Cricetulus griseus: one gene and its partners. The protein of the gene in region 2 purifies or fractionates together with the protein of the main gene of each other region. This does not show direct contact. Links are inferred from orthologs where the notes say so. Each region holds a gene or a part of one and is shown on either strand. Other genes may lie near its edges.

Region 1 (10,387 bases), on a different chromosome or scaffold from region 2:
GAGTGCACTGGGAGTAGCAAATGAGGAAGAACAAAGAATGACATATTTATATGAAAATGTCATAATGGATCAATTCTGTTAAGTCCTAATTTTAAAATTAAGCAAAGGCTTGGTGGTTAAGAGCTGGTTGCTCTTCCAGGGGACTAGGATTCAGTTCCTAGCACCCACATGGTGGCTCACAGCCTGTAACTTCAATTCCAGGGGCTCCAGCACACTCTTCTGACTCCCACAGGCACCAGACAAGAACATACACACATAGAGGCATATATCATACATCTAAAATAAACAAATCTTAAAAACAAATAAAAATTTAAGTAAAAAGTCACAAAGCAATTTCTATTTTTCATAATCAAGACAGAAAATTAACATAAAAGCAACAACAGTGAAATAAAAAAAAATGGACAAAAACAAAGTCAACAAGCACATAAAAGAGAAGAGTTCTTTGAAAGTTTCATCCAACACTGTATGGGTATTTTCTAAGCTTCAATCTTATCTATAAAATGGAAATAAAGAAAACCTCCCTGAACACTGTTGTGAACAAAACAAAACAAAAAAAACTCTAAGTACAACATAACTACAATTCTTGAAAGATGTAGTATACTGTAAATGTTAACATTTTTAAAGTAGTTGATGAAATTTCTACTACCAATTATATTTCATTAAGAGAAAAGCATTGCTCTCATCCAATACTGTCCAAGCCAAACATTAAAGAAAAATAAGATGAAGAAGAGCAGCACAACTGTCAGAGATGACATCATCCTATAGATTCCAGGATAGTTAACCAAGAAACGGTTAATAAATGGCCGTTTAGTTTAAACATACAAAAACTAGTAGTAGGCCAGGCATGGTGGTGCACCTTTTTAATTCCAGCACTCAGGAGGCAGAGGTAAGCAGATCTCTATGAGTTTGAGGTCAGCCTGGTTTACATAGTGGGTACCAGACTAGCCAGGCTACACTGTGAGAACCTGTCTTTAAAAAAACAAAAACAAAAACCCAACCAAACAACCAAACAACCAAACAAACAAACAAACAAAAAAACAGTGACATAAAGCTGAGCAAAAAGACATGCCCTGTAATTCCAGTGGCTAGGGAAGTTGAGGCAAGAGAATTACTTGAGGCTAGGAATACTATACCAGTCAAGGCAGCACAGCAAGACTCCAATTAAAATAAAAAAAAGGATACAATAAACCAATGAGAAAGATACAGGCTCACTGACTAGATGTTTAATACACAGCTGCAGGCACTATTTTGTAAGGTTCTGGAAACACTGAAAGGTGAGGCCTAGCCAGAGGAAGTAGATGACAGTGAGGCCTCTGTGGTACTTTATCAATGGTCACCTCCAGTATTGCTCTCTGCTTCTTGGTCCGCTTTCATGTCAGCAGCTGTCCTACACCTCAAGCATCTACCACCGTGATGTTATACTCGACTGCATAGGGCCAAGAAATTATGAGCTGAGTCCTCTGAGACCATGAGCCTAAACAAGAAATCATGAGCTGAGCCCTCTGAGACCATGAGTCTAAACAACTTCTTCCTTAACTTGTTGCCGTTAGATATTCTAGTCACAGCAATGCAAACTACGAGGAAATAAAAGTTCTCATTTGTGAAAGCAAGAAATTCTTGGTAAAATGCACACTATTCAATCAAAACAAAAACCCTGGAAAGAGAAGATTAAATATGTAAGACTACCCAAAGCACATTAACTACATTCTGTAATAATCAAGTTGTGGCATGTACTAAACAGATCTCTCCCCAAATCAACAGCACCGAATAGACAATCATCTATCCACATTATGAGAAATACAGTATGTAACAGTTATTTCAAACCAGTAGTAAAAGACCTCTTTCAAAAAGTGTCAGTAGAATTTTAAAATATACATTGTATCAGAAAACTACTGATTACTATACCCCAAAATATAACATTGAGATGGTGACTACTTAATATCTTCACAGAACAAAGCTGTAGACTACCTAGAAATGAGAAGCACATCCACTTAAGGAAGCAAACCAAGAAGCCACATATAAAGGGAAAAAACAGATTTAATTACACAAAACTAAAAATCTTCAGAACAAGAGACTGAGAAATGTCTGGCAACTTTAATAGACAAAATGTCATAGTGTCCCATCATCAAATTAGAAGGGAAAACAGGTTGGAAAAACAAGTTGGTGCATTGGTTGCCTGGCATGCATGAGACCCTTGGGTTAGAGCACCAGCACGACACAAAGCTGGGGTGTGGTGGCACACACCTGTTATCCCACCTCAAGGTCATGCCCTGTTACAGAGTAAGCTATGTGTCAGGTGGGGCTACATGGGGCCCCGTGTGAGAACAGCAAAGGAACAAGGGAAAGGAGACAGGGAGGAAGGGAAGGAGAGAGAACACACAGGAAAATGTGTTACCAAACACCTTGTAATCCCAGCATTCAGGTGTCACAGTCTGGAGGATGGAGAGTTCAAGGCCAGCCCTGGTGAGTTTGAGGCCAGCCAATTCCCCAGAGACTATCAAGGAGGGGAGGATCAGCAGGGGAGCAAAGCACCTCTCCCTCTGGGGAGAATTTTCTGAACAGTTGCTTCCTTCCTTCAGCCCTTCAGAGGGCATGTGCTTCTTGGACCTCACCAATTTCTCCAACTCCTCGGCTTCAGTCCTCAGTGCCAAGACGCCATTTATCCCAGTGTCACCAAATTCAAGATTTCTGAGGGTTCTTTTCTCTTTGGCCAAGCTATGGGTCAACAACCCCATGGATCTGGCTCCCACTCCACCATTCCCACTTTTTTTTTTTTTTTTCCTTGAGACAGGGTCCTACAGGGTCCAAGTTATGACTATGCAGCCAAGGACAAATTTGAGAAGTCTTAATCTTTCTGCTTCCACCTCCTATATACTGGGACTACAGGCAGGCACAACCACACTTGGTTTAATGTGGTGCTTGGATTGAACCCAGGTCTTTGTGCACACTAGGCAAGAACTCCACCAGCTGAACTATATCCTCAGCTCCAATGCCTAAAAGTACACAGCTAAAATAATCTTGCAATGCTCTTAAAAACAAGACCTGACAGGACTTGTTCAGTGTAAGGGGAAAAAAATGCAAACAGCTCTACATTCCAAATGTGCAGAGTCAATCCTGAGCTGTGGATACAGCTCAGTAGGAGGGCAGCTGCAAGCACCAGTATGATCCCCTTTACTGCCATAAACAGTTAATGCAAACTGAAGGAGTTCTCTGGACTGTAATCACCATTCAACAACAGCAGCTTAAAAAGCACTTTTTACAAGCTTTCTGCCAAACTCCTGTACACATACAATGTAAAGAAATGAGCAGCCCACATATTACCTGGTTAAATTCTATCCCACAAGTACCTTTATATACGGATAAGCACACAATAGCAATATATCACTAACCAAAAAAACCTGTTTCTCTTCCTCCAGCAGCCCTATGTAACAACTGAAAAGGGCCACTGACTGAGTTCCCATGTCGGGGGAAATTGTGTACAGACCACGAGACAAGAACTCTTAGTTGGTCTCCAGTCAAACTAAATTCTCAGTGCTTTTAAAAACTAGAAAAAAAATCTCCTACTTTTAAAAACTAGAAAAAAGTCAAACTGCATGCCTCTTATATCTAGGAGGACACACTTTCCCTAGAAATCAAACATAAACAGCCCAAGTAGACTGTATACATATTTTAAAGAGGATAAATCACTCACTGAAAACACTCCCAGATTCAACTTTCATTGGAAAGTAATACTGTTAGGAGGAATAGTACTCTTTTGAAAAAGCTAATGAAAAGAATTTTTTCTTTGGGGAGTAGTTTTTATTTTTAAGACAAAATTTCATGTAACCCAGGCTGGTCCCAAATGCACTATGTAGCCAAGGACAACCTCACTCTTCTGATACTCCCTACTTTCTACCTCCTAAGTGGTGGGGTTACAATGTCCCCCATGGCAGGGTTATGCACTCTAGGCAAGAACTCCACCAACTGAGCAGTATATCTCCAGCCCAAAAAATATTTTTCAAAAGCAAACCCTCCTTTATTAAAGACAGTATAAGGGAAGGGGAGTCTACTTTCTAATTATGTGTGGGATTTGTTATCCTACTTATTTATTAAGTGTCCTTGCTAGTGAGTCATTTTAGTCTCATCAATGTTAATAAGCAGCTGGCTGTAATATAATCACCAGTTTAGATTATTGTTAATAAACACATAATCTTAATGGCTGACTCAGAGAACAGAAAATGGTACAGTTTAGAGTACTGAGGTTGTCTGTAGAAGAGGCTTGGGGAAAAAGTACTATCAGGACATTACTATTGATTACAAAGCACTGAAGACTTGCAGTCATTTGTGTCTTTTTTAGTAAAATTTCTTAAATTTTAGAAGATTGTCTTCAAGAAATTTTAAACAGACACATCTTATATCCATATTCTCTTTTCTTTTTTTAAATAATTGGAGCAATAAATAAAGATTTCTTTTCAAAGAAAATTTGGAAATTATTGATATAATGTGCCTATTTATACTTGTTAAACTAATAAAAATATGGAGAAAATGAAAAAGCATTAATTCCTTGCTCTTTCATCGAGTCCCTGGAGGCTAAGAATAGTAAGTGAAAAACTAAAAACAATAGCTAAACAACAAAAATCTGAGAGACAAAGGAAACAGAAGGTATATATAGTATAGAAAATTATATACACTAATTTTCATCTTTTAGTCTAAGTAATCAATAAATATTATCTAAAGATGATAACCCAAGAATTTGTTTATGTATATGTGTGTGTCACATGTATGGGGTGCCACAGTGGCCAGAAGAGGGTACTGGGTCCCATGGCACTAAAGTTACAGAAAGTTGTAAGCCACCTGATGCAGGTACTTCAAACCCAATTTGGCTCCTCTGGAAGAATAGCAAGTGCTCTAAGCGGCTGATTAATGAATGCAACTTTTAGAATAATAAATGCAACCTTCAGAAGAACCACAAGTTAACCATCAACAGTAGAGCCTGTGGAGACTGGAGAGTTAAAAGACACACTTTATTTTACACCTGTACACAATATGTACTTTCCTAGTATGTCCCTGGATTCATATTGACTCTGGTTTGTTAACCTATCAATAATCAGGCAGTTTTTTAAAAATCCACCGTACTTCATCCTCTGCACCTAATAGCCATGGACTGTCAACTTTGAAAATGGAGCACTCTTTAAAGCAGTGGTTCTCAACCCCTTTAAGCAGAGATCAAAGGACCCTTTCACAGGGCCATCTAAGACCACCAGAAAACACAGATATTTACATTACAACTGGTAACAATAGCAAAATCACAGTTATGAAGCAGCAATAAAATTAATTTTATGGTTGGGGATCACCCCAACTTGAGGAACTGTATTAAAGGGCCACATCATTAGGAAGGTTTAGAACTAGGGTTCTAAGTAAAATATCTATTAAATTATCATAAAGTTGTGTGATTTGTCCTGGAGGGGGGACTGTGGTTCTTTCAATCTTGCAAAGTTTGTTCATGTCTAGCCATGAAACAAAATGGCTAAAGCGGCTATGAAAACTACCAACTTATATTAAAAAAACTCACAAGAAAAGAAATAACGAAAATGTGTTTGGGGGATTGTTTTAAAGTCATAACCTCTCTCGCCTATATTTTAACTAACAACAGTGCTTACTGTAAGTCCTACAAATTAGTCCTGAAATCAGCGGATGTTACAGAGGCTGGCCTCCAAGAGTCTAAGGCCTTTTGTGAAAGCATTAAGACATGGAGCTCCAGTGCTCTTTGAAATGAAAACAAGAAAGCAATCCGAAGGTCTGCTATCTTCACTGATCCCCTCAGGAATGTAAAAGCACGCATAGCACTTTTAACCTTGTGGTACTCCAAGTTTTTAAAAGCAATCTGCCTAGACAAGCAGTTGGGTTTTCTGTTAATCCCTACTTTTCAGTCCCCATGCTCACACTCACTAGTGCTCCTCAATGATCTCAAGCCACAAACCGAATTCAAAGAAAGGGAAGAACTTTACGGTAAGTCATGATAGAGAATTATTTGATGCAATGATCTCTTAGAACTGGATTACTTTTGGCAGCCACATTAATTTAAAGGCCTGGTGACCAACTGAGCGAAGAAAACCACAGGAGTTAAAGCTGTCTTCTCACTTTTCCATATCTCTCACTAAAGAAGGGCTTCCAAAATGTAGATCAGCATATTTGCCACTAAATTCTGACCATACCTAAGGAGCCAGGGCACATCCTAAAAAAAAAAAAAAAATTTGACTTTAGTATTAAATTTAATTCCTATACTGGCTATATGACCCTAGTCCAGACTCACTTCATGAACTCTCCAACGGCGAAGGGCAGATACAAATCTGGTTTACAAAATCGGAGGCTTCAGGCCTGTCGGTAATGAAGAGAGCCAGCTAACAGGAGCAGTCCAGGCTTCCGAACCCACAGCAGCACCCTCAAAATCCTCAATCCACCCAGTTGCAAATCTCTCAGTCAGCTGATTTGTTCTCCCCTCCGGGTGCACCTACTCTTCTCCACTGACTCCTTGGCGACCTACGCTCATTCGTCCCGGGTGCCACCAACCGCGCCCCTCGCCGCCCCCACGATGGCTCGTGCCCCACCACCAAGACCCTAGCCCGCCAACCCGGGCCGAGCCCGCCCACGCCCGCGCGGTCACTCACCCGCGGTAGTAGGCTTTCACCCGGACTTGGTGGGAATGGTCCCCGCCGCCGACGCCCGCGACCGTGTGGGACATAGTGCTGCTGTCCCTCTGGGTCGGCATCTCCTCACTCCCCCGCCTCGCCGCCGGAGGCCGAGGGGGCCGGGGCAGTGCCGGGCGACGCGAGGGAGCTGGCCGCCTGAGTGTGTCGGGAAGCCGTGGGCGCCCGCCTCGCCGACTTGCCCGCCTTGCCCGCGGCGCTGCGCGAAGGGTCGCCTCGCCGCCACAGCCCGAACCCCGACGCTCCTCCCGCCGCGCTGCACAACACGCCTCCCGCCGCGGCTCCTCCCACCACGCTCGCTCCCAAGGCCGCATACCGCGGCGGGCGGGCGCAGGAGCTGCGGAGCCCCGGCGCTCTCATCCTTACGGGGGAGGACAGGGTAGCAGCGGGAACGGGATCCGCCAGTCTACCACAAGACTATATGAAAGGGAGTAGATCTTGGAAATTCAAATAATTTCTAAAATTCAGCTTTTAAACCGAAATTTTCCTGCGAAACATCTATAGGGCACACACATGCGTAGAGTTGATCCCCCCATTCTTGTACTTGGTCGCGTCCTCAGCGAGCCTGCTGTGCTTCCTGGATGGATTTGCTGCGCGCGGGTTTCTGGGATTTGGAGTCCCGGTGGGATTCTGGGACGTGCTTCTTAAGTATAGGGAGCCGCGTTTTCTGCTTCTATCTCCTGCTTCCTGGGATTCTAGGCATGGACATCCTGAAAACAGCTCGAGTATCTGAGGGCATTGGAAACTTGGCTTCTTCACGATTTAGATTCTGTTTTTAGGTAAAGTCTCCATGCCAATTTCATCGATCACTGAAATTAAACAGTGCCACTTGGGGGAACAAGATTTGATTACCTGCTCAGAACACTCTTTTTATTTTTTCGAAACGGTTTCTCTGACTGTCCTGGAACTCGCTCTGTAGGTCAGGCTGGCTTCGAACTCACAGAGATCCACTTGCCTCTGCCTCCCAAGTGCTGAGATTAAAGGCGTGCGCCACCACTGCCCAGCTCACTCTTTTATTGGGAGAATGTAATGATATAGGTAGCAAAAGCATTAATGAATGCAACGAAAGAAGACACTAAACTGGGAGATATCATACAAGAGATTTCCTCAGGGCCCCCATACCCAGGCCCCCTGTATACTGCTGTTCTATGGAACCAAGTGCCCAATGAATACTTAACTAGCTTTTCAGTTCATTAGCGTTTGTTACTGACACTAGCTAACAGAACTAGAAATAATCAATCATTGTAATTTACTTTCAGACTTCTTCAGGTATTGGCTGTGTCATGTAACCTACTATACTTAAGGCAGCTTGAATCCAGCCACCCAGTCAGCCCAGATAGCAACATATGTAGAGTTGAAATAATCAAAGATAGGGCTTTCTTTATAGTCACAAATTACACTTGGGTGCTTAACTCATGAGAGCTATATGCATGACACTTAATTTGGTATGGCATCAGCCAACAGTCACAAATTTGGAGTATATGAAAGTTCCCACTAACGTATTCTTTTGACAATTAGACATGCATCATCCTATTAAATATGAACTGATTACTATCCACTATAAATTATAGCTAAAACAAGATGGTCAAATTTTTAATTATTTTTTATGTGTGTGCACCACATGCGTTCCTAGTTCCTGAAGAGGCCAGAAGAGGGTGTCAGATCCCCTGGAGCTGGAGCTACATAAATGGTGACCTGTATTGGGCTCTGGGAATCTAACCCAGGTTCCCAGGAAGATTAATCAGTGCCTTATAACTACTGAACCGTCTCTCCAACCCAAGATGGCCAAATTTTAATTGGTTTATTGAAAAATTTTTTATGCTTTGTGATAAATTCGGATTATATAATGCTCTAGAAAAATTAATTGTGACATATAAGGAGTAAATATAAAGAAATAGAAAGTAAGTCACAGAAAAAAAATGTTTTTTAATCCTTAGTCCTTAGGACTTTTGAAAAATCTGTCATTGATGGCTTCATAACATGGTTTTAAAGGTGGCCATTGTTAGCTGGGTGGTGGTGGTGCAAGCCTTTAGTCCCAACACTCGAGAGGCAGAGGCAGAGGCAGGCAGCTCTCTGTGAATTCAAGGCCAGCCTGATCTACAGAGCAAGTTCCAGGACAGCCGGAGCTATTACACAGAGAAACCTTATCCCAGGTGGGGGAAGAAAGTGGCCATTGTTACCCAAGGACTTTTAGTACTTACTGTGTTAGCTATAAGAATCTGTAACTATAACTCATATAAATACCACCACACAAAAAATCCCTTTTCTTAAAGATGATAGCTTTTTAAAAAATCATTACAGAGGCTCAGAAAAGGTTCAGTGGGTAAGGGCACTTGCTGCTGTTCTAGAGGACCTGGGGTTCAAATCCCAGAACCCATATGGCAGCTATGGTCTATAATTCTAGTTCCAAGGGATCTGATGCCTTTTGACCTTTGTGGGTACTAGGCACAGACATGGTGCACAAACATGCATGCAGACAAAACATACATATACATAAAATAAAATTAAATTTTAAAAAAATCATTAAGTTGTTTTTATTGGGGGGTGGGGCACCTGTGCAGATCATAGGACAACTTTTAGAGGAGTTGGTTCTCTCCTCCCACCATATGGGTCTTGGGGATTACGCTTGGGTTGTCAACCTCAGCAGCAGCTGTCTGTACCAGTTCAGCTATCTTGACCCTCCTAAGATAACAACTTTTAGAGCAGGTGCCATATGCCTGGGAACCTAACTACTGCAAAGGATGAGGTAGAAAGATCATTTGAAACCATGAGTTCAAGACCAACTTAGAGGATATGGAGATAAGGGAAGAGAGGGGTGGAGACTAGGAGGAGAGCGGGGTGGGGGGGGGATGGATGCTTCTGTGATGATGATCACAGAGAGTAACATTAAAATTTTGAAATTTTACTGAACTATACTTTACATACCTTACAAATAAATCAAGATCACAATAGAAGTCCAAGATGACAAAGGTCCCATTTGTCCCAACTCCTGGTGTTGTGTAAGCAGCATCTGGGTATAGAGCCAGGCAATAGATAGATCCAATCTGTTAACATTCCTCCATCTCGAAGCCATTCTTAAAATCTTAAACAGACTATCCTCACGGTAGTCCAGGAGGGCAACCATGCCATCTGGATTCGTGTTTTCGTAAAAAAAAAAAAAAAAAAAAAAAAAAAAAAAAAAAAAAAAAAAAAAAAAAACGGTAGTTACTGAAATCAGCAAGGCTGTGCTTAGTTTGCTCTGCAGCCTTTGATTGATTTCATGTAACCTTGGTTGTACTTTCTGTAGCCTCTTTTGTGGAGCTGGTCTCTTGTAAGTGATGGTTCATGGTGTCAACACAGGTGACTACTGTGTCTTCAGCTCTGTGCCCTCCCCTTCAGCAGAAGTGTTTCCACCAGTGAGTGAGTCATCCACATTACCCTCTGTTCTGCTGGCCCTCCACCCCCAGGCACAGCCTGTCCACGATTTCCCAGATCTTGTAGATGTCGGAGAACAGCTCATCATGACTGATGAGGTCCCCGTACATGATCATGATGGTGGCTGGGGACAGGGTGCTAGCCTGGCAGCACAGACAGTGCAGCACAGTGGGAGTGGACAGAAAAGGCCAACTTGGCTCCTCAACCTCATATCTGAACTGTAGTAACTCTAAAAACAAGGAAATCAAGCTGGATATGGTGGCACATACCTGTAATCCTAGCACCTG
Region 2 (10,474 bases):
TTACTCACTAAGCTATTTGCCCAGTCCCTAAATTCCTTTTTTTGTTGTTGTTTTTTTGTTTTTTTGAGACAGGGTTTCTCTGTGTTGCTTTGGAGCCTATCCTGGCACTCGCTCTGGAGACCAGGCTGGCCTGGAACTCGCAGAGATCCGCTTGCCTCTGCCTCCCGAGTGTTGGGATTAAAGGCATGTGCCTCCAACGCCCGGCCTCCTAAATTCCTTTTAAATCAGACACATGTTGGAACCTAACTCCCTAAAATTGTTTTTATATTTATCTTTGTTATGTATGTGTTTTGCCTGCACCATGTATGTTGTGTGCAGCACCCACAAAGATTTGCCTGCCTCCATAATCAGCATTATTTTTTTTTAATGGGCTATGTGCTAGGGATGTACCTCAGTTAACAGAGTGCTTGCCCAACATGCATGAAGCCCTGATCTCAAACCTCCACAAAAATCTATCACAGTAGTGCACGCCACTAATCCTAGCACTTGGAGGTAGAAGCAAGAAAACCAGAAGTTCAAAGTCATCCCTAACCACACAATGAGTTCAAGGCCTGCTTAGGATTCATGAGACCATGGCTCAAAATTTAATAGGAAAGAAGGGAGGGAGGGAGGGAGGGACGGAGGGAGGGAGGGAGGGAGGGAGGGCACTGACTAAATGGTTCAGAGGAAAATCGTTTCTACTATGGAATCCTAATGATTTGAGTTCAATAGCCAGAACCCATGTTAATGGTGTAAAAATAGACTCAACAAAGCTGTCCTCTAAACTTCACATAAGCTGTGGCATGAGTGTGCACAAACACAAAATTTTAATTTTAAATCATACATATACACACACAGACTTTAAGCAATGCTTATGACTTTATGTTGGGCCACATAATAACTATCCTAGTCCACAGGACCAGCCCCTGGGATTATTTGGTTCTGTGACAGTAGGAAAGATAAAAATGTAAAGGAGATAACAATCTCCACCTGGAATTTTCTAGGATTCATGAGATTAGTCTGTGGACTGGATGGTTGTAAAAACATTTATGTGTGAAGTAAACACAACCTCTAAGGTCAAGGGTTGGGGCCTAAGAGGCAGTTAATAGTGAGAGCCTACACAGCTCTGCCTGCAGGTGACTAGTCTTACAACATTTCATAAACATCAACTGATACAATCTTCCACACTATGAGGCAGGTGCTGTTACTAGCCTTATTTTTTATTTTGATTTTTATTTGAAACAGGTCTCATGTAGCTCAGACTGGCATCTAACTCCTAAAGTTTATGATCTTAAACTCCTGATCTTCCAACCCTTCGTCTAAGTGCTGGGATTACAGGCCTAAATTACCTGCTAGGCTTGCTAGCTTCATTTTTCAAAGGATAAACTGAAGTCACAAAGCATGACTTAAGATTGAACATGGCTAATAAATGACAGATCAATGATTTCAACCCAGACAGTCTAGCTCCAAAGTCTATGCTTCCAAGTGCTCTAAACAGCAGCATCTCCAGAACACACAGCAGCAAACTAAAGCAGCAGATGGAAACAAAAGAGCCTCAAGAAAATGATGTGTTAAGTAAAGCAACACAGTCAGAGGTTCTCTTCCTGTGACAGTGCACCAACACAGCAACTTAACAACTAATACTAGGTATTAAATTTAAAAACAAACTGGAGATATGGCCCAGCTGTTAAAAGCACTTCTATCCTTGCAGAGGACCCAGGTTGGTTCCCAGCACCCACAACCAGTCCTAACTTTAGTTCCAGGGAATCCAACCACCTCTTCTGACCTTTGTGGACACCAGGCATGCACATGATGCACACAAAACACATTCACACAAAACAAATCTAAATGCACAAATATACACATTCTCCCTCCCCCCCACCCTGCTGGGTCTGCTAGCTCAGGTCTGTAATCCTAACTACTGAAGAAACTGAGATAAGATTATGGCAAATTTGCTGGGCATTGGTGGTACACACCTTTAATCCCAGCACTTGGCAGGCAGACAGGTGGACCTCTGTGAGTTCGAGGCTAGCCTGGTCTATAGATGAAGTTCCAGGTCAGGCACCAAAGCTACAGAGACACCCTGTCTCAAAAAAAACAACACCAAAAAAAAAAAAAGAGTATGGTAAATTTAAGCCCAATCTTGATAACTTAATGAGACTCTTAATTTTTAAAAATTAAAAACTGATTTTTGTTGTTGTTGTTGTTGTTGTTGAGTCATGATCTCATGTAATTCAGAGTGGCCTAGAACTCCATGTCACCAAGGCTGGCCTTAAACTTCTTCCACATCCTCCTATACTTCCCAAGTGTTAAGATTATAGGAATGAGGCTGGAGAGATGGCTCAGTAGTTCGACTGCTCTTACAGAGGACCTGGTTTCAATTCCCAGCACCCACATGGGAGCTCACAACTGTCTGTAACCTGACACCCTCACACAGACATACATGCAGGCAAAATGCCAATGCACATAAAATAAAAATAAAAGACTGTAAGAATGTGCTACCTTGACCAGTTTCATTTTTCTCAACTGCAAGGGAAGAACACATTTAGATGACAAAACATTTAGTTTCTTCATGGAATAAACATCTAAGACCAATGTCCCAAGGTAACTAACTAGTGAAGAGGAACTCTGACACCAGAGAGAAGAACTCTAACACCATGAACTTAAAGACACCAGCAGTGACAGACAAAGCTGAATGGCACTAACAAAAATGCTTCAGTAAAATATGTTGGACAGAAGAGATGAGCATCTAAAAGTAGAAACTCAGAAGGGGCAAAACATCACATGAACAGGAAACTTGACACTGCAAGGGGGAAGAAGGGAGTAGAAATAAGCTACTATTTGCCAACAAAGAAATACATGAAGATGAGGAAACAGAGGTTAAGTTTGGATACATTTTAGGAAAATAAGAGAATAATTACCAGATGAGTTCCTAATTCCCAGATAGTGCACTTAACTGACAGACAAGGACAAGCAAGGAACTTAGCAATAGTTTCAGTGAGTCCAGATTTGGATATGGCTGGCCAGGCAAATAAAGTAATCTCAACAAATGAAACATGAAGGACTATAGGATGCACAGAAAAACAGTGAGAATGGTAACCCTCACAAATTAGCAAATATTTATTAAAAGGACACACGATGGCCATACCAAGTCACAGCCCTGGATTCACAGGACTTATTTATGTTCTATCAGGGGAAACTGACAGCAAACATTTTGCAAAGACTGAAAAGGCACTATCATAGGAATACAGAATAGCCCTTTAACACTGAGGGACAGAGAGCTGTTTATGGGAGAAAAATGCACCCACTATGAACTGTTCCCCTTTATAAGAGATCTTATACCCTAAAATGATTAAATGTTTCTTATACTCTTAAAAAACAACTAAAATGAGAGAATTCCATTTAAATTGTAGTACTATAAATCAAAGCATAATTTGACCTGTGCTTCCAAACCCTATCAGTGCTACTTCCCAAAAAAGACAAAGTACATAATTGTCCAAATTTAATAGCTTTTGGGTATTTTTTATTTTTATCAGTATACACATAAAAATAAAAATGCTTCTTTCATAGATCATAAGATGACAAGTGGGGCAGCATTAACTAGACACAGTGGATCACAAAAGAGGACACAGAGTTGGGAGGGGAACATATTGGGGACAGGGATCAGGTGGTAGAGAAAGGAGATAGGGATGAACATGATCAAAATATAAAACACTTTGTATGCATGTATGAAAGTATGAAGGAATAAAAACATTTTAAAAAACTATTTCAAGTGCAAAAAAGAAATCCTAAGTAAACAAACTTTGACATTTTGTAAACTTCAGGATTCAGTCTTGATGGGCTTGCTTAGAATACTGGACAGGGGAAATGTGTTTACTAAGCTACGGGGTTGGTCACTGTATGAAACATCTTAAGAGAATGTAACAGAAGACAAGACACCTTTGGGTCTTGAACAAATTACTGTATATATTTTCAAAGCTCCTTTTTAATACTCAGTTAATTACCAATCTTATTTCCTTGCCTTAGTCTAAAACCTAAAACTTCAAAGTAATTGCTTATTTTTATTATTACTGTGTGTATTTCTAAGTGTGTACACATGCATGCTTGCATGCTGCCAAAATGTGAAGATCTGGGACAGTTATTGTTTTTCTTTTTTCAAGACAGGGTCTCTCTAGTCCTTGATGTTCTAGAACTCTCTATGTAGACAAGGGTGGCCTCAAACTCAGAGATACACCTGCCTCTGCCTAAGATTGAAAGTATGGAACACTAAATAAATCCAGCTAGATGACAACTTTTGGGAATCAGGATTCTCTCCTCCCACCATGGGTTCTGGGGATCCAACTAAGGTAGTCAGACCTGCCTGACCAGTGCTTTTATCCACTGAACCATCTCACCAGCCAGATTACTTAATTAAAAAGAAAAAAATACAAACTGGTGCACACACAAACTTTTTAAATAAATACAAATTGGCTCACATATAAACTTTTTAAACATAGAAAGCTAAAAAATACAGTAGTAAATAAATGCTCCAATGTTATACTCCTATGTCACAAAAAGACTAACAGTGTATTTTGGAAGATTCAAGCGCCATACCTACAAACTACAGAAAGTCAATTTGAATACACCACTCTGGTGTTTCTTAACAAGCAATGCTATTTTCTATACAAATGAGCAATAATGGGAAAATTCTTTCTCAAACATGAGCCACCCTTAAAAGGATGCATTACACAAGTGGACCTCATTTGCTCTGCAATGTTAATGTTCTTCAGCACTGCTGCATTTTATAATCAAAGGACACAATTCTAGTGATACAAGTCTAAAAATATTACTCAAGTTTTGGGGGTTAAAAATTAAAACCAAGGGTGGTAATTTAAGTAGTTCATGCCTGTAATCCCAGCACTTAGGCGGCAGGGACTATTCTATCAGTTTCCCATGACAGAACATAAATAAGTCCTATAAAGAGAGACTTAGAAGGAAGGAATGTCCCTTTAAGGTCAAGGCTAGCCAGAACTAAACATAGAGACCCTGTTTCAAAATAAAAAATAAATCCGAAAACCATTTTTAATGGTAAAACTAAAGCATGCAACTTTAAGTTGCAATTCTAACAAAGACAAATCAGATATACAACTAAATTCTCTTTTTAGCTCACCCTTAGCACCATGCACCAAATTTAGGTTCCTTACATCAGGTTAAGTCACAATTGGTCAGTGTGGCAAAGAATTGCTCCCACAAGAAAGTTCAACCGAGTACAGACAGCCAAGGGGACCTTTAAAGTTCATGCCTACCTAAGTGGCTGCAGACAGTGTGTATTCCCTGGCCAAAAATAACCTAAGCCTAAGATTTTTAACCTTTCCGTATTTTAGATGCATCTCAGGCAGCCATCAAGGCAGGCAACATGATTTCAACAACAACAAAAAAAAAAAACACACCACCTGACTCTGAACCGACGTGCTGAGTGGAGTGACCCACTAAGGCCACAAGATGTATCTTAATTTGTGGAGCCCTGACTTGTAGGAGTTAAAACTCTCACCCCTTATGCTGAGATGACGTAATCTTCCACACTGCATTTCTACGGGACTTAAAGGGGAGGAAAGAGGAATTAAAAAAAAAAAAATAGAAAAACCAACAAAGAAAATTTCCTGCTAGTAATGAGGAACCGAGCAAGCGGCCAGGCGGGGTTTCGGGAGGTGCTTAGACAGGTCCCGGAAGGCAAGGAGGCCGGCCCAGTCGCGGGAGCCCCGGGAGCCGCGGGGCAGGAGCGGACGGACACAGCGCGGGGCTGGGGACCGCCGAGGGGCGCAGGCGCAGAGCCGCCCGGTCCGTCACCGTGGCCCCGGCCCGGCCCTGCGGCCGCAGTTCCGCTCCCCTCCCCCGCCGCCCGCCCGCAGCAACGCGTCCACGGCGGAGCCCGGGAAGCAGGAAGTCGAGACCGAAAACGTAGACGGCGGCCGGCGGCCCCCGGCCCCCGGCCCCCAGCCCCCGGCCCGGAACCCGGCCCTACGTCCGCTGCCCCCGTCCAGGAGTCTGCGGAGCCCGGGCGGGCGGGAGGGCGGACGGGCGGAGGGGGAGGGGAGCCGGTGGGATGGGTGTGCCTGGTTCTCCCGCCGCCACTGACAGCTCGGCCGGGATGCGCCCTCCGCCGCCGCCATCCCCGGCAGCGCCTCGTCGCCATTCCGGCCCCAAATCTCTCCGCGACCCCGCCTCGTTCCCCTCAGAACCCGGGCCCGCGGGCGCACGCGAACCCGGCAATCCCCCCCCTCGAGGCCCGCAGGTACCGGGATGCCCCCGACCGCGAGCATCCTCGAGGACCGAGGGAGGGCGGGGGCGCGCGACAGGGACCGGGCGATGCACAACACACTCCCGCGGGGAGGCTACTCGGGCCCCGCACTCACCTCAGCTTCTCCGCCGGGGCGTTGGCAGCACTGCGCGGGGCCTCCTCGGCTGCCGGACAGGGGCACGCGCCTGACGTCAGCACGCAGGGGACGCACGGTTGGGTGCCCGCGGAAGTGGGCGGGACAAAGAGGAAGAAGGGGCTGGAACGGGCCGCGGTGGGCGTGGCTTGGTAGTGGCTCCGCCCGTATCGCGCACGCGCGGGCTGAGTTCCTCCTATACTCAGGTTTTCTGCACGTTTTACCAGTGATTTTTATTCGTAATAAAACTATGAACAGAAGTGTTCACAGTGTTGTCACTAAAGTTTGTTTTTGTCCTTGGAACTTTGTGAAGAAAAGCATTGTAAATATATCTTATTTTTAATTTTTTTATTTTGAGACAAGGTGTCATTATATAGCCCTTGCTGTCCTAGAATGGCTATATAGACCAGACTGTCCCAGAACTCATATTCTCCTGCTTCTGCTTCCTGCGTGCTGATACTCAACACCATGTCTGGGATGTCTTTTTGGTTTGGTTTGGTTTGGTTTGGCTTGGCTTGGTTTTTTTGAGACAGGGTTTCTGTGTATAGCCCTGGCTGTCTGGAACTTGCTATATGGTCCAGGCTGGCCTGGAACTTGGAGATCCGCTTGCCTCTGCTTCCTATGTGCTGGGATTAAAGATGTGCATCCCCATGACCAGGGTACCTTTCTTTAATGACGTTTGAGACAGGGTCTCATGTAGCCCAGGCTGGCTTTGAACACAACTATGTAGCAGAGGTTGACCTTGAACTCCTGATCCTCATCCTTGCACCTCCCAAGTGCTGGGATTGTAGGCATGCATCTCCACACCCTGCATCCTTTTTTGCTTCTCAAAGAGAAATAGAGACTTGTTGTGCACAGCTTTCTGAAGCCCACGGGCCTCTAAACAATCTGCCTGTCAAGGAGTGAGAATAGAATATTGCCCTGGGTTTTGTTTAGAGCTAGAGACCCGCCCCCTCAAAAAGGTCCTGCATTTACTCTGCCTAGCTCCTCTTCCCTGGCCCCCTAGGTTGACTCTTGAAGGGACTCTAGCCAGCCCGAGTGTGGCAAACATGGCCTTGTCCTCCCACATCCCCTCTGTCTTGCTAAAAATCGTTAGATTATAATCCTAAAACTAGCCACCATGGTCCATTCCCTTATTTAGCCACTTCCTCCTCCTGAGGCTGACTGCCAATGTCCAGCTATCAAAGTATTGTAGTCCAGCGATCAAAACCCCCCTTTGTCTTACCTAATTAACCTGTCCAGTCAAATTTCATCCTAACTCAGGATTTCCCCCTTTTACCTTTATAAACTGCTGTTTGTCTATGGGCCATGTCTGTCTCCTCTCAATCCAGAGGCAGTCCTTTGTACCTCTGGGACAAATATTCCTTCCCTCCTCTCCCTTGTTCTCTTTCCCTTCTCCCTGGTCCTCTGTCTCCTGTCTTTGTCTCATATTCCCTGCCCTCTGTCCCCCTGGGTCAAATAAATCTCCTTTGTGCTGAGAACTTGGGGTGTCTTGTGCTAGTCCCTTCAGCTCTGATCTCTCAAATCCTTCTACCTTCCCTGTCTTCTTGGTACCTGTTTGTTTGCTGTCTTCCCTGTTAGTGCGAAAGCCGCTAGAGAATAGGGATCCTGTCCTAGTCTCAGATGCTTCCCGATATCAGAAGAAACATCTTAATAATGTTCATTTGCAAGCCGGGCATTGGTGGCGCACATCTTTAGTCCCAGCACTCGGGAGGCAGAGGCAGGTGGATCTCTGTGAGTTCGAGACCAGCCTGGTCTACAAGAGCTAGTTCCAGGACAGCCTCCAAAGCCACAGAGAAACCCTGTCTTGAAAAACCAAATAATAATAATAATAATAATAATAATAATAATGTTCATTTGCAGGCTGGAAGTGTAGCCCAGTGAGTGGAGTGCTTGCCTAGCATGCACGAAGCCCTGGATTTGATCATCACTACCACTTTAATAAAGTATGGGGGTGAACAGCTCTGATCCCAGAGCTTGGGAGGTGGAAGCAGGAAAATCAAAGGTCATCCTTGAAGGCATAGAGAGTTCAGTCTGTCCTGGGATACATACACCCTATCTAAAAATAAAAGAAAAAAATAAGTCCACTTAGCTGGGCATGACACTGCATCCAGAAGGGTGTGTCATTGTATGTCAGGAATCTTAACTTGAACAGTGGAACTCTGAGCTTACAGATGCGCCACTGCATCCAGCTTTATGTGAGCCCTAGGGATTAGAACTCAAGTCCTCACACTTGCATGGCAATCACTTTACCCCCAAGCCACCCCCAGCCTGCCATCTACTTCTCTCAAAGCTGCACTGTAAACATCTTTCCGTGTCAAATGAAGCCCCTCTTCCAAGGCTGCATTCTACCATGTGGATCCACGTCTACTATGTGGGCAGTCTCACACTGTTAGGATTTAGGTTGTCTTGCCTATTGCAAATTCTCCCTTCAGTGCCAGGGTGGAAACCAGGGCCTACCAATGTTAGGCAAGTACTCTCCGGTTCAGCTACACCCTTCACTCAGACTACGTCAAATGCCAACTTTTTACTATCACAAGAAAAAAAAAAAAAAAAGAAAAGCCGCATCAATTTCTTCAGCCTGAGAGAAACTGCTGCTTTTCTCTGTTTCCAAGGCTAGTTGGCTATGTCCTTTCTTTCCTCCTGCCTCACAGTGCCATGAATGTCCCCAGACAATGCCTGCCCTTTCCATCAGCTGCCATATCTTGATGGGGTGTCACCCAACTGTTTGGCCTTGCTTGCACTTATTCTGAGAACAAGGACTCACTCAGCACTTTGTCCCCTGTTTTGTCAGAAGGCACCCTTGACCTTCCCACCACCCCAAGATGGAGTGGGTTACTCCTTGACCCCTATCTACCCTATCGAAAGCTGCCAGCCAAGACTCCAGGCTCTCACGTCTCCTTCGCCCTGTTCCCTTGGCTCTATCTCCATTAAATTAGCAGGATGGCAGCCTTCAAAGTCTGTCTTAATTAGGGTTTCTATTGCTGTGATGAAACACCATAAACAAAAGCAACTCAGGGAGGAAAAGGTTTATTTGGCTTGCTTTTCCACATTATAGTCCATCTTTGGAGAAAGTCAGGAAAGGAGCTCAAAGAGGGAAGGTTCCTGGAGGAAGGAGCTGATGCAGGGGCCGTGAAGGAGTGTTGCTTTGGCTTGCTCAACCTGCTTTCTTATAGAACTCAGGACCACCAGCCCAGGGGTGGCACCATCCACAATGGGCTGGACCCTCCCCCATCAATCACTGATTAAGAAAATGCCTTGCAGGCTTACTTACAGCCTGGTCTTATGGAGGCATTTTTCTCAACTGAGGCTCCCTCCTCTTTAATGACTCTAGCTTGTGTCAAGTGGACATAAAACTGGCTTTCACGGTGTTCCCCAACTCTCCTGTAGTACTGGTTCAAGCATCTTGCCTATAGGAATAGATGTGTAACCCAGGCTTGACCAGTCTCATAATTGCAGACAGAGCTGAATAGGCAGCAGGCAGGGGACCCAGTTTCTGTTTTGGAACTTGGTGAGAACTGTCCAGCTGAATGAATGGAGTTGCTGAGGTCAGGTGTGAGCATGGCCCTGCTGTCAGCCAGCCTCTTGCTCCTGAAAATGGGAGCCATACAAAGCCATATGCAAAGGGAAGTACCAGGAGCATTGTGCCATCCACTGGGTGCTGGCTTGTTTCAGTATTCAGTTTCATTAGCCAACAAATACCCTCTCCTGCCTGGACCAGGTTGAATGGGTTTCTGTCACAAACACATGGGTGTTGGATCCCCTGGAACTGGAGTTAGACTGCTGTAAGCTGCCATGTGGATGCTGGGAATTGAACCCTGGTCCTCCTGAAGAGCAGTTAGTGCTCTTAACCACTGAGCCATCTCCCCAGCCCCTATATCTCTGTTCTTTTTGCCCCTCCATTAGTGCTGAGCTTACTTCTCATTAAGCTCTAGCCAAGACTTTTTTTTTTAATTTTATGAACTGTGGGGTGCACCCACTGAGCCAGTCATCTCATCACATCCAAACACAAGGCTCTTGAAGTCACTCTGCCACCTCTGCTCCTTGACTGTTACTATGTGGTAATAAGCTCTACCCCCTCTCTA
Region 3 (10,203 bases), on a different chromosome or scaffold from region 2:
AGAGACCTCTGATCTGTAGAAGCAACTTTAGCAACTTAAGAACTGAAACCTGCCGGGCGTTGGTGGCACAGAGCCCCAAGGAACTGTTCTCTTAGAGCAGACAGATAATCATTTTAGCATCCCGTTTTACCGAAGGCAGACCGATGTGGGCTACTGCAGAAAGCCAAAAGTTGATGTTGTCTGTGTGACGGAAATGCAAGCCAGTTGCCTGAAAGGGAGAAAAGAGAGACTGTTTTTATAGTTCTCAGGGCTCCCTATGGGTGGAACCCAGATATCAGCTTAAAGATTCATGGAGGAAGTGTAGGCGGAGCCAAAGGACCCCACCCTGTGGATCCCCTGCCTATGGAACAGAAAAACAGCTGAAACCCCACCAGGAATGGTTGAGCCAGCTAGACAATGGGATGGCTGGCACAGGGGAGGGTGGTGCAGAAGGCTTCCAAGCAGGCATAGGACAGGGGGTTTGGGCTGGCTAGAGTACAGAAAAGGGACACAGGCCCAGAAAGGCCCTTTAGGGTCGCAAAGCCCACAAGTGTGTGCACTGAGACTAGAAAACTCTCCAGGCCATTTGTACCTCAGGGCATCTTAAGACCCATGCAGCAGTGCTCAGCTGTTAGCAGAGCACCCACCTGGCGAGACACTGGTGAATGTCTTCTTCCCCAGTACAATTATTGTTCTGCTTTTCAGCCTCAAAAGTGATCATGTGTGGACTCCTAAGTCACATGGTCACCATACCCTTATAGCTTTGAGAAGAGCTTCATGGGAGGGAGAGATGGCAGGGGGATTAATTACACTGTGCCCACCTGGTACTGCAGCTGTCCCATGTCATAGATCTTCTTCAGGGGGACCACAGAGGGTGCAAAACAGTGGCCCAGCTTGGCCAGTAGCACTCCATTCCGGAGGCTCTCCTCCAGCTCTACTGGGGAAGGAAGCTCCTCCTTCAAGCACACCTCCATCCAGCTGTGAGCAGGAGAGCAGTTCTTACACACTGGCAGGCCACACAGGTATTTGTAGGACCCGCCCATCCCTCAAGTGACCTGACATACCATTCCTTCCCTACCCAAAATTCCCTTCTCTTCCTATTGTCTCACCATTTCCCACTTTCCCCAACCTGCTATAAATGCCTAAACATAAACATGCCAGCCCTTTGCCTTCATCCTGGGAAATCTCCCTGAGTGGCTTCCATACCTGCCTGTCTTCAAGGAGGTGTAGCCAGACTCTTACCCTGTTCTGTAAGGTAACCCCTTACTCTAGTCTAGCTACATATCTGACTCAAACCAAATAGAATCTGCCACTTCTGTCATTCGGCATGGTTCTGAAAACTTAGGTACAGAAAGCTCATGTCTGTTGGAATGATCTCCACAGTTCACACAATTCTGTTCTGAGGATGAGGGTATTAGAGGCCCTGTGAGTTGATGGAAGAGGAACAGCACAGGGACAGGAAGGCCAGACCTCTTAGAATCTTTCCATGCCATCTCCCTCACTTGGCCTCTTAAGCTCAACTGCACTCTGCAAAATGAGGCCAGCTTCACTGGTACTGCTGGCTTCAGTGGGCAGCTGCCAGAATCAGTGATCTGGTGATTCCGAGCACACTTTGAATATGAATATAAATGCATTTTACTGCTGGTGGCTATAGCATAATGAATGACTCCTGGGGTAAACTCTCCAGATATTGAGGTCTATAGATGTTTCCAAAGACAGCCAAGCACACTTTGATTCACACTGTTCCTGCTGGACACCTGGGTGATTGACTGACTGACTGATTGATTGATTGGTTGATCTGTGGGTTTTGCAAGACTCGGTTTCTCTGTGTAGCCCCAGCTGTCCTGGAAGTCACTCTATAGACCAGACTGGCCTTGAACTCACAGAGATCCGCCTGCTTCTATCCCAAGAATGCCTGGATCTTAGGTGTGCACCACCACACCCAACTGACACCTGTTTTCTTATCTGTTCTAGTCTACCTTTTGGGGGGGAAACATTAAAATAGACTATTGGCTAAAAAGAAAAGAGGGATAGCTCAGTGGTTAAGAGTACTGGCTGTTCTTCCAGAGGACATGGGTCCGGAGCCATATGGTGGCTCACAAACCATCTGTAACTCTAGTTCCAGGGTATCTGATACCCACTTGGTACACAGACATCAGGCAAGCAAAACACCATACACATTCATTTAAGTTAAATTTTAAAAACCTTTTTAATGGGTGGTGGTGGCACATGCCTTTAATCCCTCCCAGCACAGGGGCAGGAGGATCTCTGAGTTCGAGGCCAGCCTGATCTACAAAGCAAGTTCCAAGACAGCCAGGACTCTTACACAGAGAAACCCTGTCCCAAAAAAGCAAAACAAAAGTAATAATAATAATAAATAAATAAATAAAAATAAGTTTAAAAAAATTTTAAAGGAAAATGACTCAGCAGATCAGAGTGCTTACCAAACAGGCATGGAGGGAGGGAGGGGGAGGGGAGGGCCTGAGCTCAAATCCCCTGCACCCACATGAAACCCCAGGCATGGCCACAAGCACTTGTAACCCTAACACTATATGGGGAAGCAGGATGATGGCTGGGAATGCTGGCCACTAGTCTAACTCCAGGTTTAATGAGAGACCTTTTCTCAAGGAAATAGAGAGTGACACACCAGGACATTTGACATCCTCGTCTGATATCTACACAAACAGAAACATACACCAAACACACACACACACACACACACACACACACACACACACACACACAATGTATTTGTCATGCCCCTCTTAGATAAACTGAATCATAAAGTAACCAAATAGCCCTCAGATGATGAAGGAAGTCCTTTTTGTTCTTTGTGTGGTATATAAGTGTGTACAGGGATGTATAATAACGCACATCTCACACATACGCAGGGACCACGAGTACACTGGGTGTCATCCTTTATTGTTCTCTGCTCAACTGCCTGGAGACTGGTCTCACTGACCCTGGAGACAGGGTCTCTCACTGAATCCAAAGCTGACTGTTTTGACTAAGCTGCCAGTCCAGGGAGCTCCTATTCCTCATTTCTAAAGCTACGGCATGCAAACTATGCCTGACTTCTTACATGAGTGCTGGATCCTCAAGCTTGCACAGCAAGTACTCTTACCCATGGAGCCATCTCCCCATCCTGGAAGTCCTTTCTTAAGAAAGAATTTCAGCTAATTAATGAAGACATGATAGCACTGGAAAATAGTCATTTTGTTTCGCATATAGCCCTGGGTTCTATCTCTAGCACTGGGGGAAACAAAACAAACAAAACACCAGTCATCTTGTAACCCCAATAAGGTTCCAATGAGGGCGGACAACAAGTCAGGTGGTGAAAGCTAACGGGGAAACTCATTAGCTATCATGAGATAGAGAACAGCACCGCAGGAACAGGTACTTAGTATTGTCAGAGGCAGCACAAGACGATGCTGTGTTCCTCCTGTGAGGTGTATGTAAACCACATGCTGCCACCACTTTCCATTAAACCTAATCAAGCCTTTAAGAGCCAATATCCGTTTATAGGGACTAAGGAGGGACAAGATGAATGACACGGGAAGCGAATGACGCCAGAATGTCAGGAAAAGTGATCCAGTTTCTTAAAAAGCCAGGGACATTAAAAAATGAAAAAGGGAGCAGTGTGCCTGGCTAGAGAAGGCCTAAGAGGTAAGCATCATGTTCAAACTTTTAGATTCTTCTCGTGTGCAAACTTTTAGATTCTTCCTTTTTTTTTTGGGGGGGGGGGGGATTAGGTTTTGAGACCGGGTTTCTCTGTGTAGCCGTGGTTATCATGGAACTGACTATGCCTCGAACTCAAAGATCCACCTGCATCTGCTTCCCGTGTGCTGGAATTAAAGGTGCACACCACCTCTGCCTGGCTAGATTCTTCTTTTTAATTAAACAGATTTACTTCTTTTTAATTTAAAATTTTCACTGTACATTTCACTGTACATGGTACTCTGTTATATAAAGACAATTTTTTTCTTTTTAGACAATGAGTGAAACTGGAAAATGGCCATCCTATTTTCTGAGGCAGGGTCTCTCATATCATTGAACCTAGAGCTCACTAATTGACTAGGCTGGTCAGCCAATGAACTCTATGGATCTGCCTACCTCTGCCTCCCAAGCACCGGGATTACAGGTGCATGCTGCCATAGCTGACTGTGTGCTGTGGATCTGAAGTCAGGACTTCTTGCTCGAACTAACTGAGCCATCTCCCTTGCCACTGGCCTTGAACTTTTTATTCTCTTTCTTCCTGAGCACTGAGATTATAGGTAGGCACCATTGTGCCTGCCATGACAAAATTATTTTAACTTGCCCTTCCCCACAGCACAGCCCCTTGTCTGTTTGCATTTGATTTGGTGACAGGTGCCTGGAACAGGAAAGGTGGACCAAAAGGAACCCATCTTCCTGGGCCCTGCTTACCGCTTGGCTTCCTCCAGCCGGCACAGGTACTGATAGGCAACATTTTGTCGCCTCTGCTCATCCATCTCCTCAGCTGTGAGGCGTTCATCTGAAGTGTGAGGGGACACAGTCAAGCAATGCAGCCTTAGAGAGGGATTCCCTCACCCACACTGGGCAGCTCACAATGACCTGTAACAAACCCTCCTCTGCCTTTGTGGGCACCCCCACACACAAGGCAGATATACACACCGACACATGCCCACAAATAAAAATAAAATAAAGCTTAAAAAACAACAACAACAAAAAGACAGGAACCTCAGCTCTGATGCTGCTTCTGGACATATTTCCTAGGCAGCCCCTTCCGAGCACAGACGCACTCTCCAGGTCCTAGTTCTTCTCCCCAGTGAATCCATTAACAGGGAGCACCCTTCTCTTCCAGAGACATTTCCTTCTTTCCTCTGCAGCCATCTCCTGTCTTTCTCCTCTTTCCCAAGTCTGCCTCAATGTCACTAGCAGGGCTATCCAGAGCCGTCCTCAACTGGGAGCTTAGCTTTGAATGTTACCCTTCATTACATGCTAACTTCTCAAATATATGCTGCCACAGGTCTCCCTTGGAATCGCGGCTGACAGTCAAGGATTAAGCCCAGTCATTCATTCACTCTGTACCTTTCTGCCCCGCCCTGGGCTAAAAAAATACAAGCCCATCGAACATGCAAGAAACGACAGCTTTGGTGGATTTGTCTTTGACTGGGCACCAGTCATTCTTACTCTTTATCCTATTTCCTCATCTTGGATATCCTGCTGTACGGTTTCAGGAAGGGCTGGGCTTATTTGAATTGGCAGTTATAAAAGTTCAAACCCACAGACGCACACTTCCAAATACAGATTTGAAAGCACTGGCCAACGGCAGAAAACGCAGGAGTTCCTCTGAGAGAGTTTACAAGGAACAAGAGTTGGCTGTTCAAGAATGGAAAATAAACCCGTAAGAGAGTGACATCACCTCAGAGCTATGAATTGGGGACTCAGCGAGATGAAATGGGCGGGGCCTTGAGCGTGAGCACCAGAGCGCGCGCGCGCACAAAGTGTCTCAAAAAAGCCACACGAACCAAAAACAACCACCACAAAAATGTTTTTTTCTGGCACGAGCATTCCCTCACGTGGTGGGTGGACACCGATTCTGCTATTTGTGTCCAAGTGGTGAAGGACTGTAAAGAAAGCAGGTTTTGTTTTTCGTTCCGCCGATCCTTCCAGCCCTTCCCAGAAACCTGGGTCTCTCTCTAAGCAAACAGTGTTTCCGGTGGCCCAGGGCATCCTCTATGCACTGTGTAGCTAAAATTGATCGTGAACTCTTGACCCCCTGCCTCCACTTTCCAACTGCTGGACTTCCCGGAGTGCGCCGCCAAGCCCGCCCTCCGGGTGCTGCGTTTTAAACAAGCCGCCAGGTGACCAGGTACCAAGTCCTTTGAGACGCATTGCGGAATCCCATCCCGTGGCGCCCTTTGGCAAGTACGGGAACGGCAGGATTTAAGAGGCCACCTAGACTGTCTACACTCCCCGCCCCTGCGGCCCCAGAGCCTGGGGATGAGGGACAGCGCCCTTTGAAGGTTGTGCAGCGCGGTCACCCTGCGCACGCCCACTCCCCACCGTGCTCCAGGCAGCCCTCCCGCGAAGGCCAAGCCCCACCAGCAGCACCCACTCCACCCTGCTCAGGGCCCTCCCGCACTCACAGGCTGTCCGAGCCCGGCTTGCCGAACACGGCTCCATGTTCCCTCTCCTGCCAGTTTTGAATCTCCCGCCGCCGGGACACCACCCCTCACCGCGGTCACACCGGGATTGGGACACTTCCGGTCGTGCGCAGGGAATCTTGGGTTTCGTAGTTTCTCCCAGGTGGGGAGGCGAGGGATAGCTTTGGGGCAGTTCCTTGATTTATTTGCTCTTTCTGCAAGACCCGTTCTCTGCTCAGCTGGCTTTTTCAAATAGTCCCTGCCGCTGCCCTTCCTTTCATTAACCTGTCCCACTTCCTATAGAATTCCCGGGACTCCCTGTATGCTACTTGGTGTTATACACTGAACTAGGTGACAAATACAGGGGTAAGCATGCTCTCTAGAGAGTGGGGTTATAACAAGTGGTAGAGACAATGTCAAAAAGCTTGGAGGTCAGTGCCACACTGAGAATCACTGCGTGGACGGCAGAGACCTTCCTAGTGGAGGCTTCGGCTGATCATGAGGCAAGATTAAAAAAAAACAAACAAACAAAACAAAACAAAAAAAACGTTCTAATTTTTAAAAGGCATGGGTAGGGAATGGTGTTGTGGAATATGAATTGAAGATGTGTGGCATTTGTTTATGCTGTGAAACATTTGTTTAATGGTGCAAAGATGTGTTGCGTTCTTTCATGTTGCATTTGTTTAACTCTGTGAAAGCTATGTTACTTTGCTTGTCTAAACACCTGATTGGTGTAATAAAGGCTGAACAGCCAGTAGCTAGGCAGGAAAAAAGATAGGCGGGGCTGGCAGGCAGAGAGACTAAATCTGAGGAGAAAGAAATCTGGGTAAAGAACATCTGGGAGCAAGAGGAGGGAGGAGGACATTGGGGCAGCCACCCAGCTACACAGCAAGCCACAGTGTAAGAAGTAAAGGTAAGTATATAGAATAGAGAAAGGGGAAAGCCCACAGGCAAAAGGCAGATGGGATAATTTAAGAAAAGCTGACTAGAAACAAGCCAAATTAAGGCCAGCCATTCATAAGTAAGAATAAGACTCCATGTATTAATTTGGAAGCTGAGTGGCAGCCCCCCCCCACCCCCGAAAAAGTCAAAAGAGTAAAACAAAAACATAAAACAAAACAACAACAATAACAAAAACGCTACAAATGGGACCCCTCACCATGGGGGTGAAATCTCTACCAGCTAAGAGTTAAAACTTCCTACTTAGAGCTGTGTCTGCTCTTCCAGAGGATCTGGGTTCAGTTCCAGCATCTGCATGGTGGCTCACAGCTGCCTGTAACTCCAGCTCCAGGGGATCTGGCACCCTCACACAGACATTCATGCAGGCAAAACACCAATGCACATAAAATGAAAATAAATAAACCAGATGGAAAAAAAACTTTCTATACAACTAACAATTGATGTAAGGACTACCTACAGAGATAATATTTTTTTAGATTTTATATATTTATTATGTATACAATATTCTGCTTCCATGTATATCTGCGCAACAGAAGAGGGCACCAGATCTTATAACTGATGGTTGTGAGCTACCATGTGGTTGCTGGGAATTGAACTCAGGACCTCTGGAAGAGCAGTCAATACTCTTAACCTCTGAGCCATCTCTCCAGCCTGAGATAATATTATTTTTATACAGAAATATTTCAAGTAAGAATGGTACAATATGAGGAGTGAACATGATCATAGCACATTGTAAACATATATGAAATTTCCAAAAGGAAAAAAGGAAAGAAAAACATGTTAAAATTACAGTGGGTCTTCCAGTCTGGCCTTACCCCTCTTTTTCCAGATATGAACCTGCAATGTGGAATGAAAGCCTAAGGGTTCCCCAAGTCCCTTAGGGACCCCAGCCTACAGTGCCTTTGGTAACTGCTGAATTTTAAGGGGCTTTCTAAATCATCCACATTCTCCTAACCCCGGAGCCCCAGAACCTGGGAATAAAGGAGAAGGTTCTGCAGCTAGAGAGCAGGCACGTTTACCTGCTTGTAGGCATACTTCTGCAGGCTCCCACAGAGCAGTGCTTTGGGCAATGCCTCCTACAAAGGCCAAGCCCCTTTCTTGGGAATCTCACATATAAGAATATAAACACTGTTTACAGTGAAAAACAGTTCAACTGTCTTGTGCAATCTTCATGTCTGCCTAAGGCTTTTCCTTCTCTGTGTGACCTGGTCCTGTGCACCTAGTCAACCAACCTATGATCCCATTTAAGTTCCTTGGCAACCTTCTCAGATGTAACTGCAGAAGCCATCGAAATCTGATGCTTGGTTATTACAAAGGCATAAAAAAGCATGACTCACGCAGAAGCCCACACCCATGATTGGTGTGTACTCTCTTTTTTCCCACTATTAACAGATGTGCCTAAAAATCCGTTCAAAACTCTTAAGAAAAAAACTCCAAGCCGGGCGTTGGTGGCGCACACCTTTAATCCCAGCACTCGGGAGGCAGAGGCAGGCAGATCTCTGTGAGTTCCAGGTCTGGTCTCCAGAGCGAGTGCCAGGATAGGCTCCAAAGCTACACAGAGAAACCCTGTCTCGAAAAACAAACAAACAAAAAACCTCCAATTCTGTTTCATTCTGACTTGTCCTGCAATTCTTTTCTGCTGCAAAATTTGAAACCTGGTTTTGCCTGGTAGATGTGTCTGCATGGAGCTGTGCCTCTGGTCCCTGATAATCCAAGTTGAAAAGGGAAGAATTTACCAGGTTAAAGGTGAGAGGCATTCTACACAGTGGAAACAGCATGTGTAAGAATATTAGGGACATTAAACTTGTGTTAGTGATGTGGAAAAGGTCAGCTAGGGAGAAGGATGTGTCTTACACATCTTAGGCAACTTGCCAAGGTACTGAGACAAGGGCTGGTGAGCAACTGCTAACCCTTCAGACGCAGGTCAGAGCAGCTTGGTGCTTTAGAAAAGATGACAGCAAGGGCTTGGAGAGAGTGAGACTGGGTACAGACTAATTGGGAAGCTACTTTGGTGGCACGGAGGACAGATAATACGGCTTCACTAATAAAGACAATTATAACAGCTCTGGTGAGAAAAGGACCAGGCTTAGTGTGTGATAGGCTTCTAGGACCTGTATTTATCCCTTCGTCCTTCTCCACACATCATGCAAGCAGCAGCGGCCAAGGCTCAAAGCTTCATGGCAGACATTTGAAAAGGCTCCATGTCCGTTATTGCAAATTGTCAACTTGGCAGAATCACCTGGAAGATAGGCCTCTGGGCATGCATGCCTCTGGGGGATTATCTTGATTATGTTAACTGATGTGGGAAGACATTTAAAAATTGTGGGTGGGACCACTACCTGGACAGGGGATCCTGGACTATATAATGTGGAGCTGAGCAAAAGGCACTGCATTCGCCACTCACTGTTTCCTGATTGTAGATGCAGCTACTTCAAGCTCCTGCTGCTTGGACTTCGTACCATGATGAACTGTGAGCTAACATAAATCCTTTCTCACTTCAGTTACTTTCTTTAAAATATATATATATATATATATATATATATATATATATATATGTATATATATATATATATGAATGCTTTTTGGAGATTATAATATAATCACAATATTTATCCCTCTCATTTCCTCCCTTCAAACTCTTCCATATACCCCCACTTCTCTCTTTCAAATTCACAGCCTCTAGCCATTTATTTGTGCTCTTTCTGATTCTTTAATGCTGGCACTTACAGCTACAACCCCCTCCCCCAGTAAGGCTGCTTTCAATGTGTCCCAGGGGTTTTGTTGGTTGTGTTTTTGTTTTCATTTAGTTCTGGAAAGTTTTTTTATTTGTTTCTTGTTGTTTTCTTTGACCCACTGATCATTCAGTAATGAGCTGTTTAGTCTCTATGAGTTTGCATACTGACTAGAGTTTTTTTTTGCTGTCAATTTCAAGTTTTATTGCATTGTGCTCAGATAGGATACAAGGAGTTATTTCAATCTTCTTGAATTTGTAAAGATTTCTGTGTTCCAGATGTGGTCTACTTTAGAAAAGCTTCCAGAATGGTCATTCTTTGGTATGTGGGTGAAACATTCTGTAGATACTTGTTAAGTCCATCTGGAGTACGATGTCAATTAGTTGGGATGTTTCTCTGTTTAT

The links.
Region 1: the proteins of Cdc42 (region 2) and Prkci purify together in Homo sapiens (co-immunoprecipitation; 3 studies listed by BioGRID and IntAct, with this or other methods). This does not show direct contact. The link is inferred for Cricetulus griseus from reciprocal best matches to the Homo sapiens genes CDC42 and PRKCI.
Region 3: the proteins of Cdc42 (region 2) and Iqgap3 purify together in Homo sapiens (affinity purification with mass spectrometry; 4 studies listed by BioGRID and IntAct, with this or other methods). This does not show direct contact. The link is inferred for Cricetulus griseus from reciprocal best matches to the Homo sapiens genes CDC42 and IQGAP3.

Annotation. Positions count from the first base shown.
Region 1 is NW_023276806.1:119,646,533-119,656,919, reverse strand, and holds the start of Prkci (protein kinase C iota type), read right to left. Parts: upstream 6,945-10,387; 5' UTR 6,749-6,944; coding exon 6,648-6,748; intron 6,358-6,647; exon of another isoform or gene 6,298-6,357; coding exon of another isoform or gene 6,293-6,297; intron 6,144-6,292; exon of another isoform or gene 6,129-6,143; coding exon of another isoform or gene 6,121-6,128; intron 1-6,120.
Region 2 is NC_048595.1:15,950,220-15,960,693, reverse strand, and holds the start of Cdc42 (cell division control protein 42 homolog), read right to left. Parts: upstream 6,494-10,474; 5' UTR 6,372-6,493; intron 1-6,371. UniProt on the Homo sapiens protein: Plasma membrane-associated small GTPase which cycles between an active GTP-bound and an inactive GDP-bound state. In active state binds to a variety of effector proteins to regulate cellular responses. Involved in epithelial cell polarization processes.
Region 3 is NW_023276806.1:66,387,391-66,397,593, forward strand, and holds the start of Iqgap3 (ras GTPase-activating-like protein IQGAP3), read right to left. Parts: upstream 6,217-10,203; 5' UTR 6,148-6,216; coding exon 6,111-6,147; intron 4,493-6,110; coding exon 4,405-4,492; intron 958-4,404; coding exon 801-957; intron 209-800; coding exon 131-208; intron 1-130.